Cricetulus griseus: one gene and its partner. The main gene of each other region encodes a partner of the protein of the gene in region 2 in a complex. Links are inferred from orthologs where the notes say so. Each region holds a gene or a part of one and is shown on either strand. Other genes may lie near its edges.

Region 1 (3,146 bases), on a different chromosome or scaffold from region 2:
CCATCAAAGAAGTAGGGATAGCAGTGAATGTGGCTGAGTCCACATTGCTCATTGTTGACTGTGACGAAGCCCTTCCAGCAGACTTGCCTCTGCCTGACTGGTGGTGGTGTTTGCTACGTAGTTATATAACAACATAGCTCGTGTTTCCTGGCCTTCCTGGAGTATGGACTGTACCCAGACATGGAGACCAGGAGGCCTGGCTTCCTTTGTAGGCTCTGCCACTCACACTGATACAGGGGCTCCTTCCTGCTTCATTAGTGAAGTGACAGGGCTGGCAGTGATGTGGGAGCACCGGTGGGAAGGGGTAGGAGAAGTGGGCACCTGGCTGGGGTTGTCTCGGGTGGCTCATTGGGAGACTGCCTCTCTTACTTGACCTCAGTCTTCCTTCGCTGAAGACACTGTTGTGACTCACTTGTGGGGCAGCGGTGAAGATGGAGTTGTCATCACATCTGTAAGAGCAAAGAGGTCTGAGGTCTGAGGTCTGAGGGTGAGAGGATGCTCACCTCCACTGTCTATCGTGAGGTCATCACATCTGTAAAGGCAAAGGGAGGGTCTGAAGGTGAGAGGATCCTCACTTCCACTGTCCTTTTGATCTCTATCTTAGTTTCTCTTTCTTGAGGTTTGGCTAAGGGGACATTGCTGACATTGGTTGGCTGGGATTGGTGGTAGCCTGCAGTGACTAGAGCATCCAGATCTTGACCTCCTGCACTCTGGGCTGTGGGATCAGGGGAGTCAGCACTGAGCCAGTGTGTATTGTGTCTCCGCAGAAGGAGGGGGAGTTCACCTTGCATGGCCGGGCCATCTTGGAGATGGAGCAGTTCATCCGAGAGACCTACCCGGATGCTGTGAAGATATGCAACATCTGCCACGGCCTCCTCATCCAGGTACTGATGATACAGTGGGAGCAGGATCCTGATGCTCAGCCCACTGGGCCTCACTGTTGTTGCCCCCCAGGATCAGGCACCTTCTGGACAGACATCCTGCTGGTGCATCCCTAGTTCTCCTCCTGGCCATTCAGTTCCTAGCCCAAGGTGCTGATGGGTGTTGGGTGATAACTTTTCAGTAGAAAGGGTCCCTGGAACTAGAGTTACAGTTGGTTGAAAGCCATCTAGTATGGATGCTGGGTACCAAACATGGGTTCTCTGCAAGAGCTGAACATGTTCCTAACCACTGAGCATCTCTCTCTCCAACAGCTTTATCACAACACAGACACAAAACTTCGGTTTACTGGTTGTAATGGCTATTCTTGGTTGCCAACTTGACTATATCTGGAATTAATTAAAACCCAAGTAGCTTAAGTCTTGGTAGCTCTATGATAAATGTCTCTCTGTCCCTACCATTCTGCTTCTTACTTGAACTTTGCAGGCTGGGTGCCATGTTTGCTTCTTTTTATCTTGGGCAACCAGGCTCTATGCTGAGTTTCTGTGTGAGTATCCACAGATGTCTGTGATCTTTCTATGGTCAGATTCTTGGAGGTAGAGTCTGTGGCTTACCCCATGCTTGTGTGGATCCTAAGCACGTGATACATGTTGCCACTGGCCTACTGCAAAGCTCTATGTCTATACCTCCCACTGGGGAATCTCTAAGCAGTGAGCCTGAGTCTGGAGCTACAGAAGCTTGGTGGGGGGTGCGGTTTTCAGCTTCTCCCACCTATGTACACTTGTTCCTGTAGTGCAGGCCCTACAGTAGAGCTTGGGGTTGTTACCAGCATTAAGTTGGAGTCTGGAAGTTCAAACACTACAACCTGCTAGCCATTTTCTTGCAGCTTTCTGAATGTTTGTGAAGTTGAGGGATGTCCTGGCTCCATGGTCATCAGCCTTTCTTGTTTCAGGGTCAAAGCTGTGAGACATGTGGTATTAGGATGCATTTGCCTTGTGTGGCCAAGTACTTCCAGTCCACCTCTGAACCACGCTGTCCTCACTGTAATGATTTCTGGCCCCACGACATTCCAGGTACACGGCCTCCAGAATGCCCATAGGATGGGGTGGCCTTGTGATGGGCTGTCTGTGAGACCTCAGTTCTTAGGCTGTGTATCAAGAGCACCTTGGGAGGGAAGGCTGAGGAGGACTCTGAGCATGAAGGTCAGTGTTGGTGTCCTGATGAAGCACAGGCAAAAGCTACCTGCCTGCCTTTGTCTAAAGGGCCTAGAATCCACTAGAAACCTCAAGGCTTGTGAGAGTCCCACACAAGGCTTTTCTCCTAGCCATCCAGGAAGAGGGATGGGAAAGCCACTTCTCAGCTCCCTCATTGAACTTTGCTGCCTGGCTCACGTGCTGGGGGAGGAGGGTTACAGACAGGACAGGTCCTCTGCATGGGGGGATAGCTATAGACATCAGCTGTGTTCTGTGGAATCAGTCCATTCATCATGATGTTCACTGTGTCTCCCTGCTGTTCTATACACAGAAGTCTTCGACCCTGAGAAGGAGAGGGAGGCTGGCATCTCCAAGTCGAGCAGAAAGTCCTTGCGGACCCGTCAGCATTAGCTGTGTCCTGCATGGCTCTGGCTGTTGGTGGGCTGACCCTCATGGCCCATTTAGACCAGGGGCCTGGCCATCCACATGGCACATGAACTGCCTCCCTTGTTGATATTTGCTGTTAACATATTTTTAGTAAATGTTTCCTGATGGTTGCTGTGCTCTGCAAACTAGAGCTTGTGTGGGGCTGGGTTCCCCATGGTGAGGTGAGTGAACTCAGTGGCAGCACTGGGTCAGAGCCACTGTCAGCCCTGGCCAGGTGTCTCTGTGTCTGGTTCTGGGCAGTTTTGTTTTCGCTGTGGTTTTGTTCCATTACCTTGGCCTTGGTGTCTACGGCTATAGTAGGACCACTGTGGCCTCAAGTCAGTAGCCCCCGAAGGCTGAGCTGGACTAGATTTGTGCTGTTCCCATGGGACCTTTTGTCCCCCATCCACCCACCAGTTATTTCAGAAGGTAACCTGAGAGTCAGTCTAGCCTTCTTGTCCCTGGCATCAACCTTGTGTTTTCCTCAAATCCTGCCCAGCCCTTGCATCTATATCACACTGTCCTCAAATCCTGTCCAGCCCTTGCATCTATATCACACTGTCCTCAAATCCTGTCCAGCCCTTGCTCTTTGGCCCAACAGCTACTGTCCAAACAAGAACCCACCCCTTATCCTCATCCTGCTCTGCC
Region 2 (3,679 bases):
ACATATGTGGCAGTGTGCCGAATATGAGTGATAACATTAAGAAATTGCATGCCTTTACAGGTATTTTCACATGCTAAGAAACTCCATGATATTGTGCCGCACATGTCATGTTTTTCAAGTGGCTTGCCCTTCCCGACCTAGGCTGTTATTTAACAGGGCAGCTGAGACTGCTACACAGCCCTTCCCTAACTGAAGGAGGCGGTGCAGCCTGTCCTGTCTGCATTTGAGTCCTGTTTACAGTATTGACTGGCTGCTCCAACTTGTGCAAGTTGCTTGGCTAGAAGTAGCTCAGTTTCCCTACCTGTGAAATGGATGTGGTAATACCTACGTCTAAAATACAGCTGTTAAGACTAAATACTATATATAAAAACATTGCATTATATCATTATGCCATGTTAACTGTTGATATTAGTACTGAATAACTATTCTTTCAAGTGCTGGTATCAATATAGCTGTGGGCTCCGTTTTTAATTGTCCCAGACTTTACCGAGTTTACCCCTTAGTGAAATGGGACCATCCTCCCCTGATGTCATCCAGAGCGTGGATGGACTGTGGTTTCAGATTCCAGGAAGCCCTGGCTGTTGCATCCTCCAGGTGCAGTGTCAAAAGCCAGACCATGCTGGGACGAGCTAGTGTTGTGTGGTCGCGAGGTCGGTGTCTTTAGCTGCCCCTCAGTGCTTCTTTTGAGTTCTGGCGGACCTGGAGTCTCGTGGTCCGGCAGCTTGCGGGTCGGAGTCCACCGGCGGGAGTGCCCAGAGGGCGCGTGGCGTCCCGGAAGCCCCGCCCGGAGGAAGGCTCAGTGCCGCTCTGCTTTGTGCTACAGAGGGCAGGCGGGGCCTGCGGCGGCGGCGGCGCGGGTGCGAGCGCGAGCGAGCCCAGAGAGGCCGCAGGACGCGGGCCGAGAGAGGCCGCAGGAGGCGGCGAGCAGCGGAAGGCGCGTCCGGAGGAGGGTGGCCATGGTCCAGCCCTGAAGGTAGGAGCTGCGTGCTCCCCAGCCCCGATCCCGGATCCCCAGCCCCGGGCCACTACGGGCTGCCGGCCCACGTGCTCAGATCCCTGAACCGAGACGGCAAAGCCAAGCCGTTTCTTTTAAAGTGACCGTTCAGAGTGCCCTTTGCTTGGGTTTCCCCCTCTTTTAGCCTCCAGCGGCAGGGTGAGTGGCCTGGGGAAGTCTTGAGAAAAGGGCATCAGGAAATGCTTACGCCTCCCTCATCAGACCGCCCCGTCTCCTTCCTCTTTAATTCTCTGAGGCGTGGGCCTCCTGGAAACCCCAGGCTCCGAGGAGCCCCCGGGAATCCCCTGGGTTGAATTTGTTTCCCGGCAGGCATTTCTTTTCCTAGCTCAGAGTTAACAGTTGTGGCTATAAAGGAATGGAGTCTACCCTCCAGTGGCAAGTATGCTGAACGTCTGCTTTTGGTCCATCCACTTGGAGAATTACAAAAATGAAGTCAGATCTTGGGGATCAAACCCCGGTGTCCGTGCGTGGTAGCAAGTGCCTTTCCCCACTGAGCCATCTTGCCAGCCCCTTTGATTTTCAGAGTAACATATGCTGGAGCGTTGCCCTCTTGGTGTAAGGCCTGCTAGGTTTAAGAACATTTATTTAGTTGTATGTGCTGTTAAGAAGGACGTTAACAATTGATTCACATTTTTATTTAGTCTTTGCTTGCTTCTAAAAGAAACATACTTTTTTGAAGAGTGAATATAGGGAATGGAGCTAGACTTCAAAGGCAAACAGCAAATGGATGGAAACTAATTAAGGGAGATAAAAGGCTTTTACCTGTAGTTAAAGTAGTTGTGTAACTCAGACCTTTAGTGTTCAAGTAAAATAACACAAAGACCTAGTAATGGGCCTTCCTGGGGAAACCCCACCTCTATTGTAGATGTATATTAAGAAGTTACAATCATTTGATTTCTACATAATCTTATTCATGCTCTTGATTTTAACATCAGTGGAGTTAGTTTCAGGCTTTTGTGAGTTACACAGTCACGAATGAAAGAAATATGTACATACCATTTACCATACACATAGAGCTGTTCTTTTTGTATTTTCCTTTGGTTTTAATGAGCAGCGCCAAAAGTGGGAGGAGACAGAGCAGGTAAGATTCAGTATTGAGAATTTGAGCCATTGTTTGCCACAATGAGTATATTATAGACAATGAGAACTTTGGAAGGGCTCGGTTGGCACAAATGACTACTTAAAGAGGCTTTGTGCAGATGTTTCCCCTCCTTCCCTTTGTGTGTGTCTGGGGTGGGGGGGTTGGGGGTAGGGCTGTGCCAGGATTGGACAGGGCAGCACTCATTGTGGGTAAATGCTCTACCACAGAGCTGTAACCCCAGGGCAACACTTTAGTGTTGTCTGTTTGTAGTGCTGGGGGTAGAACCCAGGGCTCTTCACTTGCTGGGAAAATGTTGTTCCACTTAACTACACCACATTCCTAGCCCTTTGTATTGTTTCTCTTTTGAGGCAGTCTTCTATGCAGATCAACCTGGCCTTGGAGTTATGTTTTCTCCTGCCTCTGTCTCCTTCAATGCTAGGATTACAGGTGTGTGCCACCAAGCCTGGCAGCATCTTATTTTGTCTTTAGGGCAAGAATCAGAGTGTGTATGTGTGTGCTCATGTTTGTACTTACCATGATGTTCATATGAAGGTCAAAGGACAACTTGTGTGATTCCATTCTCTTCTTCCACCATGTGGGCCTCAGGGATTGAACTCATGTTGTCAGGCTTAACAGCTGGTACCTTTCAACACCAAGCCATCTTGACTTTCCTGATTCCAGAGTTTTGAAACTACCCATGTAAATGCCTCTCTTGGTAGCACTGAGAAGAAAGAGCACAGTGAATGAAAAGGTATCCATTGGAATACTACCAGACATAGTTAAGTCTTCAGTAGTTTGAGAGAAGAGTTGTGGGTGGTAAGATTAAAATTGGCCACATGAGACTCAATTTCTTTTTTTTTTTTTTTTTTTTTTTTTTTTTTGGTTTTTTGAGACAAGGTTTCTCTGTAGCTTTGGAGGCTGTCCTGGAACTAGCTCTTGTAGACCAGACTCACCTGCCTCTGCCTCCCGAGTGCTGGGATTAAAGGCGTGCCCCACCAACACCCGGTGAGACTCAATTTCTTGATGGCAGGAATAGAAGCTGTGACAGGCAGGCAACAAAGCATTGTGAGGTTCACCTCCAAGAAGGCGGATCCCAGTTGTGTTCATTTGTAGTTTCAAGCCTCCCTAAGTTAGCAGCAACCCGAACTCTTCTTGATAGCCATCAGAGAAGGGCACTCAAGCATCTCACTCAGGTGGGCCTCACATTCAGAAGGCTTCCTCCCTAACCTGGCCGGCCTTCTGCCTGATTGCTGCTTGTTGCTGCCAGATCTGCTTCCAGGATAAAGAGCTCACTTTTCAGTGTGGTGTTATATACCTTCTTGGCTGGGGCCAACGTGGTTTTCTTTTCATCTCCTCTCCCAAACTCCTGTAAGCTCCTGGGAATAGTTCTCTAGATCTCCCCACCTTGCTGGTTTCTTTACATCACTTTCTGTGCAGACACACATTACCTCTGTGTTTCCACAGCACCCCACAAATCCTTATTTCTGGAAAGGGAGGAACCCTGCCAGAGACAATTTTCTGCCTCTCTTATCAAGGTAGGTTTTCTTTATATGGCTGTGTTGTTTGCACGGGTGTGATAGTAC

The links. Proteins that work in one complex are often made in the same cells at the same time.
Region 1: Eid3 (region 2) and Nsmce1 share a complex: the UniProt entries of both Homo sapiens proteins name them as parts of the SMC5-SMC6 complex. The link is inferred for Cricetulus griseus from reciprocal best matches to the Homo sapiens genes EID3 and NSMCE1.

Annotation. Positions count from the first base shown.
Region 1 is NC_048596.1:75,351,121-75,354,266, forward strand, and holds the end of Nsmce1 (non-structural maintenance of chromosomes element 1 homolog), read left to right. Parts: intron 1-767; coding exon 768-884; intron 885-1,831; coding exon 1,832-1,952; intron 1,953-2,403; coding exon 2,404-2,483; 3' UTR 2,484-2,644; downstream 2,645-3,146. UniProt on the Homo sapiens protein: RING-type zinc finger-containing E3 ubiquitin ligase that assembles with melanoma antigen protein (MAGE) to catalyze the direct transfer of ubiquitin from E2 ubiquitin-conjugating enzyme to a specific substrate.
Region 2 is NW_023276806.1:152,476,457-152,480,135, reverse strand, and holds the start of Eid3 (EP300-interacting inhibitor of differentiation 3), read left to right. Parts: upstream 1-847; 5' UTR 848-973; intron 974-3,560; exon of another isoform or gene 3,561-3,631; intron 3,632-3,679. UniProt on the Homo sapiens protein: Tissue-specific component of the SMC5-SMC6 complex, a complex involved in repair of DNA double-strand breaks by homologous recombination.